4 linked regions of the Canis lupus familiaris genome follow. The protein of the gene in region 1 purifies or fractionates together with the protein of each later gene. This does not show direct contact. Links are inferred from orthologs where the notes say so. Each region holds a gene or a part of one and is shown in the gene's direction. Other genes may lie near its edges.

Region 1 (4,149 bases):
CACCCGAGCTGCCCCCTGAAGGTCTTTTTTTTTTTTTTTTCTTTTAAGATTTGTTTATTTATTTATGATAGACAGAGAGAGAGGCAGAGACACAGGAGGAGGGAGAAGCAGGCTCCACGCAGGGAGTCCCGACGCGGGACTCGATCCCGGGACTCCAGGATCGCGCCCTGGGCCAAAGGCAGGCGCTCAACCGCTGCGCCCCCCGGGCTGCCCCCCGGAGGGGGGGTCCTGTTTGAACGCACCTTCTGACGGCTGTGTGCACCCAGTCACCTAAATCTCCGAGCACCTGCACGCGGAGGTCGACACTCATTGCACGGACAGGGAGAGTAGGTAAGGCTCAGAGAGGCTCCGCAAATTGCTCAGCATCACGCCGCCATAGCAACCGGCAGGGACTCGCGTTCAGGGAGCCGGCCCGCGCCCGCCCGCCCGCCCGCGGGGCCGCGAGCTCAGCCCGGGCTCGCCGGGGGTCGCCCCCAGGGGGCGGGCGGGGCGGCGCGGGCCCGCGGGCGCTCCGGGGCTGCCTCGGCCGCGCACGCGCTCTCGGGCTCCGGGCCGGGGCGCGCGGCGGGCGCGAGGACGGCGGCGGGGAGCGTGCGCGCCGTGACGTGCCGGGCGCCATGTTGGAGGGCTGGTGGTAGCGGCTCGGGGAGGTGCTCGCTCGCTCGGTCTCGCTCTCTCGCTCGCTTCCCCCGGCTCCCTTCGGTGCCCCCCCCGGTCGCCTGCGTGCCGGAGTGTGTGCGAGGGAGGGGGAGGGCGTCGGGGGGGTGGGGGGAGGCGTTCCGGTCCCCGGGAGACCCGCGGAGGGAGGCGGAGGCTGCGAGGGACTCCGGGAAGCCATGGACGTCGAGAGGCTGCAGGAGGCGCTGAAAGGTGGGGGTAGCTGCCCCCTCTCCCTTGCTCCGCACCCTCCGCGGCCCCCCGGTCCTCTCTTCCAGGGCCGGGGGGCCCCGAGGCCCCGGCCGGGGGCGGGGGCGCCTCCGCGGTTCCCATCCCCCTCCCACCTCCCCAGGGGCGGGGAGCCCTGTGGGCAGCTCCCTCCCGCCCCGCTCTGGGCTTTGTGTCGGCCGCCGGCGTCTGGGCTGGGGGAGGGGAGCCGGGGAGGCTCCGGCAGGGGCCCCAGCGTCCCGCCCACCCTTCCGGGGAGACGCCGTGTGCCCGCAGCCCCCTTACCGGCAGGCTCCGTGTTCCGTCAGGCCCCCGCACGCCGGGCGTCGGGTTGGGAGGAAAAGTGGAAGGTTTGGGGTGAGGGGGGTGGGGTGCGAGGGAGAGGGCGGCCGAGCAACTTTAAAGTGTCTCAGGAAGTCTTTTTTCAGCGCTTCTGAAGTCCTTCCTGCACGCGCCCTAATTCCGAGGGGGTCGCCTTGGCGGCTCTCGGTCGCCCGCCTTCCACGCAACAGGCTTGGGAACGCCGTGGTTCCCAAACTTAGAGTCGCGTGTGGTTTTTCCAGCGTTTTCACCACAAGGCATGTCGACACGCGAAGTCCTGTGGAAAACGGCTGCACGAGGTAGCTGCAGGCCAAGACGATCAGCAGTTTGCGGGGCTTTTTCCGTGGGGCCTCAGATCTGTATTTTAATCAGCGGCCCAGAGGCTTCTGTTGGTGTTCCCCTGGACCGCACTTTGAGAAACAGCGCCTCAAGGATGATTTATGGAGCAGCTGAGTGCCCCCTTTAGGAGGATTCTTGTTCACAGTGTGGAGAGAGACCATTGTTGGGAGTAGAACTTGGGAGAATCAGAAGTGAATATTTTGGTTGAGAGAGGCTGGACTCTCTTTTTTTTTTTTTTTTTTTTTAAATAGCTGCTTAATATTTCAGGAAGGACTTGGAGAAAAGTTTGTTTGTATAGTGTATTGGAAGTGGTTGATGGACTTTGAACATACCGACTGACAATTTTTCTTTCTTATTTAGATTTTGAGAAGAGGGGAAAAAAGGAAGTTTGTCCTGTCCTGGATCAGTTTCTTTGTCATGTAGCCAAGACTGGAGAGACAATGTGAGTTGAAAACATGCCTTGGTTGTTACGCTCCTAGGTTATCATTCAGAATTGGTTGGGGGGGGGGGGGGGGAAGGATATTTCAGAAGAAATATCGGCGGAAGAGCTGAATTTCAGAAGAGGTGAATAATCTATGTACAGCTGTACAAGCTCCACTTAGCGCATATACTGTATTTCCTTTACGCGTACTCCAATGGGTTTTAAAAATTTGTTAACATTTTCTTTGCATCTCTGCTTTTGTAGATTTAGAATTTGTCTTGAAGAGCTAGAGAAAAGAATGCCTATCCTGTTAGGACCCTTTTTGGCCCTAACAAGCTTATTTCCAGAATTTTGTGGCTTTGATTTCTGTCTCAAAAATTTTTTTTTTGTTGGTGGTATTTTCTCATATTGTCCTGTATCCAACCTTTTGTTGTCATATTTATGTATGTGGGTGTTTGAAGTGTCACTTCTATTTATTCTCTTGAGGATTTAGGGTGATTATCTGACAAATTCCAGATGCTACAGTTTTGACTGTCCTGTAAACTTTCTAGGATAGCTAACTTGTTACATATGCTCAGCATTTTATTAGGCTTGTTTCCAAATGTTGTGAATCTGAAACTTACACTATGAAGTTAGGATTGTTTTCATAAGGACCATTCCAGTTCATTGTGTGTGTAGTTTGTGTGGCAGGAGTTGTTTTTGCCATCACTAAGTCAATTTGTAGAAAGCAGTGCATATTTGGTGACTTCCTTGTACTCTTTGTAGGGGGGTGGGAGCAAGAAAGGATAAAGGTTTCTCTGGGTGCAGTGTTACTAAATGAGCTTTCTTTTGGCTCCCCTGGGTCTTGTCTATTTTTAATATTCTTTTTGAGTTCTTCAGTGAGTGTAAGCTTCAGCAAGTGATGTATACTTTCTTTGGCTTTATTAGTAGATGTTCATTTCTGACAAGATTTGCTTGTGGTTGTAGTATATGTAGCCTTTTAATAACTAGCCCAATTATAGAAAGGAAAAAGACCCTCTGATTTAGTAGTCATGTAGATAAGCTGCTTTATTAAAATTACCAGTCAACTTAAGAATGTGTCTTGATGCGTTCAATCTTATATTTTTATTTATTCCACTTAAAAAGAGGAACTCTTTAGGGAAGAAGTCCTATTGCCTCTGAATTACAGTCTCTTAGAACATCTTGATTTTAAAAATTGATGCAACATAATTAACTGGTATTTATGTAGATAAGCGTAAAATGACTAGTTGCCAGCTTTCAGAAATAATCCCTAAATCATAAATTTTTAGATTGCCATTATTTCTTTCCGGTTGTTAGCTGGTCCAAACTTAACCCCCTACAATACCAAGATACCAAGAGGAGAAGCTTTTTACTTTCAGAGTTTTGATACAAAAGATTATATCAAACTATTTGGAGATAGATACTTAAAACCTCTTCTCCTTATCAGGTTTGTATATAAACTGTCTTTTGATAAACCTATGTTGACTGTAAATAGTTGAAAACTTCTGAAAGAAAACTTCTTACCCTGTCAGACTGGATCACCATGTGGCTAGGAAAGTTTAACCTGGTTTTTGGGGGTAATTATTTTGTCTTGATAGGGGTCTTTTTTTTTTTTTTTTAAGTATTTTTTTTCAATTTTTATTTATTTATGATAGTCACAGAGAGAGAGAGAGAGAGAGAGGCAGAGACACAGGCCGAGAGAGAAGCAGGCTCCATGCACCGGGAGCCCGATGTGGGATTCGATCCCGGGTCTCCAGGATTGCGCCCTGGGCCAAAGGCAGGCGCCAAACCGCTGCGCCACCCAGGGATCCCTTGATAGGGGTCTTAAGTTCCGCCACCCCCTTTAAACTCCTCCCATTTTTTTACATTTACTAATAGCATTTTGTATTAAAATGGTGATATTAGATTCTTCATATTTGGAAAGTATTTTTAAATTTGTCATAAAGCAGCTGGTGTTCACACATTTAATTTTAATCTTTGTTTTTAATCAACATGAACGTGCTTTTTTTTTTTTTTTTTAATTTATTTATTTGACAGCACAAGCAGGGGGAGCAGCAGACTTCCCTCAGAGCAGAGAGCCCAGTGGGCGGAACTCCATCCCAGAACCCTGTGATCATGACTTAAGTGAAGGCAGACTCTTAACTGACTGAGCCATCCGGGAACCCCTAGCATGCCCTCTGATT
Region 2 (3,500 bases), on another chromosome or scaffold:
AGGTGGAAATTCAGGGTTCTTCTTCCTGGCAGGCTCTACACCCAGAGTGCCTACAAGAACGAGCTCCTGACTACCACAGTGCCTGAGATCCAGAGAACCAACCTGGCCAATGTGGTGCTGCTGCTCAAGTCCCTGGGCGTGCAGGACCTGCTGCAGTTCCACTTCATGGACCCGCCCCCTGAGGATAACATGCTCAACTCCATGTATCAGCTCTGGATCCTCGGGGCCCTGGACAACACAGGTGCTGAGGCCCTGGGAGCCGGGCAGGGCCTCAGGGCCTCTGGGCCTCTGGTGATGGGGTTTTCTTTTTCTTGACTTCACTGTGTCCACTCAGCATTTCAACTGGCTCCTCTCCCAGGTGGTCTGACCTCGACTGGGCGGCTGATGGTGGAGTTCCCACTGGACCCAGCCCTGTCCAAGATGCTTATCGTGTCCTGTGACATGGGCTGCAGCTCTGAGATCCTGCTCATTGTTTCCATGCTGTCCGTGCCAGCCATCTTCTACAGGCCCAAGGTGGGGACGGGGTGTCCTGTGCTTCTATCTTCCCAGAAGCCACAGGGCAGTTTATGGGCCTGAGGCAGGATTAGAGGGGACTAGTACCTTTCTTTAAAATAGGATAGAGGGACAAGAGTCCATGTTTCCAGAGAATAATGCTGATTTCTGTTGAGCAGGTTGGGGTAAGGGAAAGCATGGGCTAGATCAGTGGTTCTCAGAGACCGATTGGAAAATTTTATCTTTTTTTATCTTCTAGTATGTTGTGCCTGAGCTCTCCTGTTTTAGAGTAAATACTTCATTATAGGCTGTATTATTTTCCCTGTATTGTCAGGGCCACATATCAACATGTTTGAAGTCGTATGTGCAGATAGCTGACAGTGGGAGAGCCTCCAGGGTCTTCTCGGTGGGCCTGGACTCCCTGTGCAGAGAGTAAAGGTCCTTTTTCCTTCCCAGGGCCGAGAAGAGGAAAGTGATCAAATCCGGGAGAAGTTTGCTGTCCCCGAGAGTGATCATTTGACCTACCTGAACGTCTACCTGCAGTGGAAAAATAATAATTACTCCACCATCTGGTGTAACGATCATTTCATCCATGCCAAGGCCATGCGGAAGGTGGGGGCAAGAGCCCAGATAAGCAGGATATTGGGGTGAGGGGGTGGTAGGGAGGAGGAGGAGGGCTCCATCCTTTTCTGCCCTGTGTCCTGCTCTAGGTCCGGGAGGTGCGAGCTCAGCTCAAGGACATCATGGTGCAGCAGCGGATGAGCCTGGCCTCGTGCGGCACGGACTGGGACATCGTCAGGAAGTGTATCTGTGCTGCCTATTTCCACCAGGCAGCCAAGCTCAAGGTGAGCCAGAGGAGCCTGATAACTGTACGAGGACAAGGTTCTTTCTCATTGCACAGTCCTGCAGATCTGGGTTCCCCACCGAGGTCTGTGTCAACAAGGGGAGTGGCTGCCCAGATGAGCAGCATTTTCTTGGTGTGGCTACCTGTTCTGTCTCTTCCCTAGGGAATTGGGGAATATGTGAATATCCGGACAGGGATGCCCTGCCACTTGCACCCCACCAGCTCACTCTTTGGAATGGGCTACACCCCAGACTACATAGTATATCATGAGCTGGTCATGACCACCAAGGTGAGTCTTTTCTGACACAGTTGTGTGATGTAGGCGTCCCTGGCTGGGCCAGGACTTTGGAACCCTTTGTTGCCTTCCAGTATGAGTTTTAAGCTTGGGAGATGAGGCTGCATGTGTTGCTTTGAGGGGAATTGATAGATTGGTTTTCATTTGGGTTTGGGGGAAGCTTATACAGAGTTAACCTTTAGATGATAGTAGCCGTGGCTGTGCCAGCAGGATTGTTTCCTACTTCCTGCCTGGGATAAGCAACCCCTCTTGGTGTCATTAGAAGGGCTTTCTGAGGGGCTAGGCCTTTTCTCTTGGATACTAGGGGCATGTTTTTAAGTGTGGAGGAATTTGAGTGGGAGAAAGGATTAGAATTCCAGTGTCTGGGGCTTGTGTTTGCCTTTTTCAAAGGGCTGGGGGTCAGATCCTTCTTACATAGGTCCTAATTGTGGAACTGCTATGGGAAGGACGGCCCAAGGCATGGCCCCTCTGTGACCACCACTTTGTGACCCTTCTGCCTGCAGGAATACATGCAGTGTGTGACCGCAGTGGATGGAGAGTGGCTAGCAGAGCTGGGCCCCATGTTCTACAGTGTAAAACAGGCAGGAAAGTCTCGCCAGGTAAGGATCCTCCACTTTCCATGAAGGTTCTGCTTCCTGTGGGAGCCATTTTCCCTTCAACCTGGTATTGAAGACATGTTCTCATCTGACTCCTACCCTCCTTACTTCTCTCTCAAATACAAAAGCTGTGATCGAGCCAGATTGGTCTGTTAGAGTTCTCCCAACTACTCCAATTGCTTGGCCTGCTGAGAGTTCGTGTTTTTTTTTTTTTTCTAAAGATTTTATTTACTTATTTAGAGTAAATAATTAGAGTAATTTCAAGCAGGCTTCACACTGAGCATGGAGCCCAGTGTGGGACTTGACCCCACAAGCCTGAGATCATGAGCTGAAATCGAGAGTCAGATGCTCAACCAACTAGCCACACAGGCCTTTAAAAAAAAAAAAAAAAGCCTCATTGAAAAGTCCAAATATTCATAAAAGTGTAAAAAACTGTACAGGAAGCCATCATGAATTCATCACCTAATCTCCATAATAATCAACATTTGGTTAGTCTTGTTGGGCTTATTCCAACCCCTCCACACACTCATTTTTTTTCCTGGAAAGATTTTAAAGCATATTTCAGACATGTTATTTCACCAATAAATACTTGAGTAAGCATCTCTAAGAGAACTTAATTTGTTTTTAAAATGTAACCGTTATGCCATTATCACTTAACATATTTAATTCTTAATGTTATCTGAGTTTCTAGTGCTTATTCATATTTCTTCTTTCATCCCAAAGATAATTTTTTATGATTTGCTTGGATTAGGATCTAAACATTATAATTAGTTATAGGCGGTAAGTGTTTTATTCTAGAACATGCCCTGCCTCCATTTTTTATAACAGCATTGATTAATTGGAGAAACCAGGTCACTTGTAGAATGCTTCATCTTCTGTATTTGACCAGTTGCTTTTTCATGATGGTTTTTAACTTGTGCCTCTCCCCTGTGCTATTTCTCTAAACCAGTAATTAAACGCCTGATAGGATTCAGATTTAGCTGTTTTGGGCAAAGATGCATAAATGCATGTGGTATTGTGAACTTCCTTTTAGATCCTCTTAGGAAGCATGTCAGGTCTGGTGGTCCCACTTGGGAGGATTCTGAGATTCTGCGATCCCTCCAGTAGGAGTTCTCTAGCTGCTACTCCATCTCCTCACGGTCTGACTGTCCGTGGATGCCCAGAGCTATTTAGGGTTGCAGAATGTTGCTGGGCTTTTGCTTCTCCTCTTGTCCATACTTTCCACACTGGGCCCACACCCATCTTCCCTGTTCCTCCCAGCTAGGTGGTAATG
Region 3 (3,500 bases), on another chromosome or scaffold:
TTAAAAATAATTTTTAATGGCTGAATAATATTCCCTTGTGTGTATATACCATGTTTTCTTTACTACTTTGTTGATGGACATTCAGGTGGAGTTTGTGTGCATAGTTTCAGAGGTAGAATTTAGTGATTCATCAGTTGCATGCAACACCCAGTGCTTATTACTTCAAGTGCTCTTCTTAATGCCCATCCAGTTACCAGTTACCCAATCCCCCCCCTCTTCCCTCCAGCAACCCCCAGTTTCCCATAGTTAAGTAAGAGTCTCTTATGGTTTGTCTCCTTCTGTTTTTGTCTTATTTTATTTTTCCTTCCCTTCCCCTATATTCACCTGCTTTGTTTCTTAAATTTCACATGAGTGAAATCATATGGTATTTGTCTTTCTCTGACAGAGAAATTATTTTGCTTAGCATAATACCCTCTAGTTCCATCCATGTTATTACAAATGGCAAGATTTCATTCTTTTTGATGGCCGAGTAGTATTCCATTGTGTATATAGATATACCATATCTTCTTTCTCCACTTATCTGTTCATGGGCATCTGGGCTCTTTCCACAGTTTGGCTATTATAGACATTGCTGCTATAAATATTGTGGTGCAGTTGCCCCTTTGGATCACTATGTTTGTATCCCTTGGATAAATAACCTGCTAGTGCAATTGCTGGGTCATAGGGTAGCTCTATTTTTATTTTTTTGAGGAATCTCCACACTGTTTTCCAGAGTAGCTGTACCAGTTTGTAATTCCTGCCAACAGTGTAAGAGGGTTCCCCTTTCTCTCCATCCTCACCAACATCTGTTGTTTCCTGAGTTAATTTTAGCCATTCTGACTGATGTAAGGTGGTATCTCATTGTAGTTTTGATTTGTATTTCCTGATGCCCAGTGATGGAAGCATTTTTTCATGTATCTGTTGGCCATTTGTATGCCTTCTTTTGAGAAATGTCCGTTCATGTCTTCTGCCCATTTCTTGATTGGATTTTTTTTGTTTTTTGGATGTTGAGTTTGATGTAGGTGGTTTATACATCTTGACTCTTGTGGATAATGTTGCATGATGTTGAGCATCTTTTCATATGCCTGTTGCCTATTTCTGTGTCTTTGGAGAGATGTCTGTTCAAGTCCTTTGCCCATTTTTTAATTGGGTTATTTGTTATTGAACTGTAGGAGTTCCTTATATATTTTGAATACTAATCCCTTATCTGATACATGGTTTTTAAATATTTCCTCATATTCCATAGTTTGCTTTTCTGTTATTTCCTTTGCTGTGGAAGCTTTTGAGTTTGATATAGTCCCACTTGTCTATTTTCTGCTTTTGTGGTTGTGCTTTTGGTGTCACATCTGAGACATCTTATTGCTAAGATCAATATCATGAAACCTTCCCTCTGTGTTTTCTTCTAGGAGTTTATAGTTGTAGGTCTTATGTCTGAGTCCTTTATTCCAATCATTTTGAATTGATTTTTGTGAATGGTATAAGGTAAGGGTCCAGTTGCATTCCTTTGCATGTGGATATCCAGTTTTCTCAGTACCATTTATTGAAGAGGCTACCCTTTCCCCATTATGTATTCTTGGCACCTTTCGATTGTTTATGTGTGGACCTATTTCTGGGCTCTCTGTTCTATTCTAGGACTTGACTTTTATATCCCCTTTTACCCAGCAGGATTTGATGAGCCCACCACACTTTTCATGTGTGTTCATTTTTTTTGGTGACTGAAAACTTTTGCATTTTAAATTCTTCTCGGTGGTTGAAGACACTAGATAATGGAATCTGAAATAATACTTGTTGTTATATTTCAGGTCTATCATATGCAAGTCACACAGTTGGCTTCACGCCACCGACTTCACTGACAAGAGCCGGAATGTCTTACTACAATTCCCCGGGTCTTCATGTGCAGCATATGGGAGCCTCCCATGGTATCACAGTAAGTATCCACAGGGGAGGAAGCCACACTGACTCCTGATGGTGGTAGCAACGGCTTCTTTTTAGGGGAGAACAGGGGTGATGCTGTTAGACATTTACTTTTTTTCTCCCTCCCACCATCAGTTCACCTTCAATCTATAGAGACTTCCCAGCAGTTTGATACCAAATTCTGGTGTTGAAACTAAAATCCTTCCCAGGAGACAAAACTTCAGCTTCACTTTCTGTGAAAAATTATCCTTTGTGAAATGTAATTTGAACTCTGGCCAAGGCCGTAATTAAACTCTGGCCAGCTCTTTGCTATAACGAGTCATTGCTGGTTGCCACAATGTCTAAAATATTTATTGTTGGCATCTTCACAGTTCACTGATCTTCAGTATTCTTCTTGAAATTAGCCTTATTTCTGGTTTCACTCAGAATTTTCTCTCCTGGAATCAGAAGGAGTCTTAAATGCTTTTTGTTCAGACTTCACTCGGGAGTTTTTCCTTGAGAGCTGCTTATTAAGTTGAACTAATAGAACAGTTGAAAACGTAGCACACAGGAGTTTGAGAATAGTGAAGAAGGGAGGGTACTGGTTCCAATAAGGAAACCTTCAAAAGAAGACTCTTAGCCTACAAAAGCAGTAAGGTATTTCTGAAGCTGTTTTTATTGGTTTGTTGGGAAACATCTGGTTGAGCTGCAGCTTTTGGGATATTGATAACTGAGTAGGGCAATGGAAGCAACTCGGTGACATACAAGGGACAGAGGAGATCCAGTTGGGGGATGTGGCGCTGTTTTTGATTCTAGGACTGTCCCGTGGAAGGGCCCGAGTCCAGTAATTTGGTCAGTGCAAGTTTCATAGTCACTTCGTGTGGCTTTTTCACGGGTGTCGGTGCAGACCCCAAGGTGTTTACGTCCCCACTTGAGGGAGCGGGAGGGGCAGGCCAGGAACTCGCTAGCCTCTGGGCTCTGTGGCCCCCCATCCCCCTTCACCAGCCCCCACTGTTCAGGCGGTTAAAAAGGAGCGGTCCGCCCCGGACTGACCTGCCCTTCTGTCCCCTCTGCAGAGGCCTTCACCGCGGAGAAGCAACAGTCCTGACAAATTCAAACGGCCCACGCCGCCTCCGTCTCCCAACACACAGAGCCCCGTGCAGCCGCCGCCGCCGCCGCCGCCGCCCCCCATGCAGCCTGCGGCCCCCCCCGCGGCCGGCGCGCCGCCCGCCCCCTCGCCGCAGCCGGCGCACCCCCCCTCCCAGCCTTAATGCATGTGCTTCGTCTGCAGCTCACGTGGGGACTCGGACAGTGGAGCCGCCTGCTCAACGCCAAAGGCTTCCTTCCCTGGCAGTTCTGGATCTGACTTATTTGCACTGACGTTATCTAGGCTTCACTATTAATTGTGTTGTAAGTGTTTGTCAGAAACGCAGCCAGTGTTGTGTGTCTGCAACACTACACAGACGACTTTTTTCCATCAGTGTTCTACTTGAATCTACGTGTACGTCCATTCCCTGGCTGGAACATTTGCTATTCGATATTTGGTAATTCAGCAGCAGCGTGCAATTTTTGCTTGGCCCCAGAGCTTCATTTTCCTGGCTTTTAGGTTTGTAAAATAAAAAGGGATA
Region 4 (3,500 bases), on another chromosome or scaffold:
AATGGAGATTAGTTACTCCACCTATTGAATACTTGTTGAGTTAATTGAATTACAGTTGAGCTGAGCTATGTAAGGTTTACATTTTTTGAGCTTTCAGTGTTCTTTAGTGAAGAGGGGGTACACTGTGTACTTTAATGTTCCTGTTTTTGAGAAAAATGTTTACTTGTGATTTGCATTGTAAATGTGAGGAACTTTGAAATAGAGAAAAATGTATTTTCTTTGATAATCAAATTAGCAATTATTATCTATTATGTACTAGGTACCTTGGAGGAATCAACTTTTAAACCATGCCCTTAGGCAGTATACAGACTAATGGGAGAGACTTTATCAGCTATGACAAGTTTAACAACAAATATGCAGGAAAAAAAATATGCAGGAAAAACAAGAAAGATCTTGTATTAGTGAATTTTGGCAAATATATATATTAGGATATTTATATTATTCGTAGAGTGTAATTTGGTGTGTTATATGAATACAGATGGTCTATATTCTGCATCACTGATTATAATCCTTCTCATTTTGATATTTGAGGACGGAGGGTGAACACTCCAAGGAAGTTATTAAACCATACGATTGGACCTATACAACAGATTATAAGGGGACATTACTTGGAGAATCACTTAAGTTAAAGGTAAATCTTATTTTTTGCTTTTATGATAAAGTCAATAATTGTCTTGGGCAGTCTCAGCATTAGAACTTTTTAATGGTTATTTTTGCTGCTACTTTCATCCCACTTTCTATTGAGGAAAGCTTTAGAACCTAATGTGAAGGGATTTTGCTTTTTGATTATAAGCAAAAGATAAGAAGGCCATAGTGGAATAGTTTTTATTCTCAAAGTATGTTTAGTAGCAATAGCAAACTGCCTTGATGTTACCATTATTTTTCAAGAAGCATTAAAATATGTATCTGCCCTTGGTATAATGAATTAGGCGACTTAGAACCTGCTGGTTAGCAGCTTACAATTGTACAGATGAACAGGAAGGTGGGCAGATAGGACTTCTGGTCAGACAGCTTGGGTCTTTGTCCTGCTTGCACTGTCTGGGGCCTGGTATGACTCTAGGAAGCTACTTACTCTGAGTCTCAACTTTCTTAGTAAATTGGGTAAACAGAAACAATGACCTCCCAATAGAGTTTTGATATGAGCTAATTTGTGGGAAAGCTCTCGATAAATTCTAAAGCTCTACATTAATCATGCATCTGTGTAAACTGTGCTTAAGAAGAGATTGACTTTATGGTGAATGACGCTGGGAAAGTGGAATTGGTATGTCTCATATTAGGAACTTAGCTGCATTTTGAAATCCTACAGTTTGATTGAAATGAAGAAAATTTGGCTTAGGTTGCATTCTCTAATGATCACATTCAATTACAGAGAACAAAATCATTTTAGTGTAAATAAAGTAATTATTAGAGACCCTATATCATATGTTGGCTCTTAGACAGAAATGTTAAGGAGATAGAGCTATGTATGGGCTCCTTGTCTCTGCAGAGATCTTTAGAGTCTTGGAAAGACAGAAGTTCATGGAAGGAACTCTGTTCTCTTTAGTTTCTGCCTCTCATGTAATCCAGGGTTTAACTGTTTTTCTCTGCTGCTTCCAAGACAATATACATTTTTAGAGAGAACATGTATGCATTTATTCATTCATTCACTCATTCTTGAGCTCTTCCTCTGAGCTATGCACTAATTCTAGGAGCTGTGGATACAGCAAAGAACAGAAATCCCTCCTTTATGGTCTAATGGGGAGCAAGGTTATTTCAGTCCCTAATACTTCCCAGAGTAATGTTCTTTCTTCTGATTGAGAAACTTTGTAAAGAACATAGTCCATCTGATCTTTCATTGCCAGGAATAAGGAAATGGGAACTTGTTTTATTCCTTTGTAGGAGTGATGACTTACAAAAGGCCTCCTGTGGGTTATGAAGTAGCATTAGCTGTGTTGGAGGAGCAAGAAGCACAGCAGTAGAAACAGGGAGGATGAGAGTTGGAGGTGAAAAGCACGTGTGTTCAGTACTCTTACTGACACATTCACCTGAGATGTAATTTGTTTTGAGGTATTGTTGACAAATGTCAGTGTGAACACCCCCTCACTGGTAGTAATGAGCTCAGGCTTTGGCAGGCCTGGGTTCAAATCCCAGAACCATTACTTAACTTGGAAAAGCAGTTTATTTATTTTTTATTTTATTATTATTTTTTAAAGATTTTATTTATTTATTTATGAGAGACAGAGATTGAGAGAGAGGCAGAGACACAGGCAGAGGGAGAAGCAGGCTCCACGCAGGGAGCCCGACGCGAGCGAGACTCGATCCCAGGTCTCCAGGATCAGGCCCTGGGCTGAAGGTGGCGCTAAACCGCCGAGCCTCCGGGGCTGCCCGGAAAAGCAGTTTAATCTTGCTAAACATTATTTATCACTTTGGTAAACTGGATAATAACAGTTGTAAGGAAATGATTATGTAAAGTGTTTAGCACAGTGTCTGTTACATAGCAAGAGTCCATAAATGGTAGCTGCTATTATTATTATGATAATATTATATCTCAAATGTCAAGGGAACTAAGTTAATATTGAAATACCAAGACCAAAATATTAGACTAGATATATGCCAAGATACTATCAAAAGATATATATTAGGTATTATTGAAATACCAAGACTAGATATATTGTTTATTTTTATTTTTATTTTTTTAAAGATTATTTATCTATTTATTCATGAGAGACACAGAGAGAGAGAGAGAGGCAGAGACATAGGCAGAGGGAGAAGCAGGCTCCATGGAAGGAGCCCGATGCGGGACTCGATCCTGGGTCCCCAGGATCATGCCCTGGGCTGAAGGTGGAACTAACCGCTGAGCCACCCGGGCTGCCCCTAGATATATTGTTTAAATATTTATATTTGCTTTATGATCTAAACAAGTTGATGGTTATGTTCGTTTATTGCCCTAAAAAATCAAGTAACTGTTTTCTAGGCAAAACTGTTAGAACTTTGTTGCTTAATCCTCAAAATAACCTTATATCATAGGCATTCTTATCCTCATTTTGCGGATGAAGAAATGGGTTCAAGATCTTAAAGTATGTATCTCTTAACAACATAATACCAATGTGGTAGCTTATTGTTAAGCATGTTTGTTGTATGGGGAAGATCATCCTATAGGAACATTTTCTGCTTTTGACTTTCTCGATATGTAAGGATTTTTTAACCTATATCATTACTTGGGATTTTAAATTATTTAATTCTTCACCTTTTCTGAAAACAAAAGTCCTGTTATGTATAGAAAATATATGCCCATGGAAGAGAATATATTTTATATGAATAATAAGAATGTCACAGAATGAGACATTAGAATGAAGCCTTTCCTTTTGGCCTTAAATTCTTGCCTTTTAATTGCTGGAGGCTGCTGGTGTGTGTGTGTGTGTGTGTGTGTGTGTGTGTGTGTGTAGCATTTCTCACCCTTCTTGGGTTGTTTTGCCGATTACTCTGTGAGTTGTAGCATAGTGTAAGAGAAGAAAGTCAGT

Evidence for each region.
Region 2: the proteins of PPP4R2 (region 1) and DHX38 purify together in Homo sapiens (affinity purification with mass spectrometry; 3 studies listed by BioGRID and IntAct, counting the BioPlex papers as one, with this or other methods). This does not show direct contact. The link is inferred for Canis lupus familiaris from reciprocal best matches to the Homo sapiens genes PPP4R2 and DHX38.
Region 3: the proteins of PPP4R2 (region 1) and CCDC6 purify together in Homo sapiens (co-immunoprecipitation; 3 studies listed by BioGRID and IntAct, counting the BioPlex papers as one, with this or other methods). This does not show direct contact. The link is inferred for Canis lupus familiaris from reciprocal best matches to the Homo sapiens genes PPP4R2 and CCDC6.
Region 4: the proteins of PPP4R2 (region 1) and TIPRL purify together in Homo sapiens (affinity purification with mass spectrometry; 5 studies listed by BioGRID and IntAct, counting the BioPlex papers as one, with this or other methods). This does not show direct contact. The link is inferred for Canis lupus familiaris from reciprocal best matches to the Homo sapiens genes PPP4R2 and TIPRL.

The regions. Positions count from the first base shown.
Region 1 is NC_049241.1:19,298,848-19,302,996, reverse strand, and holds the start of PPP4R2 (serine/threonine-protein phosphatase 4 regulatory subunit 2), read left to right. Parts: upstream 1-1,349; 5' UTR 1,350-1,465; coding exon 1,466-1,505; intron 1,506-1,905; coding exon 1,906-1,987; intron 1,988-4,149. UniProt on the Homo sapiens protein: Regulatory subunit of serine/threonine-protein phosphatase 4 (PP4). May regulate the activity of PPP4C at centrosomal microtubule organizing centers.
Region 2 is NC_049226.1:78,405,935-78,409,434, forward strand, and holds part of DHX38 (pre-mRNA-splicing factor ATP-dependent RNA helicase PRP16), read left to right. Parts: intron 1-32; coding exon 33-241; intron 242-358; coding exon 359-513; intron 514-948; coding exon 949-1,104; intron 1,105-1,202; coding exon 1,203-1,337; intron 1,338-1,499; coding exon 1,500-1,625; intron 1,626-2,134; coding exon 2,135-2,230; intron 2,231-3,500. UniProt on the Homo sapiens protein: Probable ATP-binding RNA helicase. Involved in pre-mRNA splicing as component of the spliceosome.
Region 3 is NC_049225.1:12,639,199-12,642,698, reverse strand, and holds the end of CCDC6 (coiled-coil domain-containing protein 6), read left to right. Parts: intron 1-1,781; coding exon 1,782-1,906; intron 1,907-2,925; exon of another isoform or gene 2,926-2,948; coding exon 2,949-3,143; downstream 3,144-3,500.
Region 4 is NC_049228.1:30,246,741-30,250,240, reverse strand, and holds part of TIPRL (TIP41-like protein), read left to right. Parts: intron 1-531; coding exon 532-631; intron 632-3,500. UniProt on the Homo sapiens protein: May be a allosteric regulator of serine/threonine-protein phosphatase 2A (PP2A). Isoform 1 inhibits catalytic activity of the PP2A(D) core complex in vitro. The PP2A(C):TIPRL complex does not show phosphatase activity.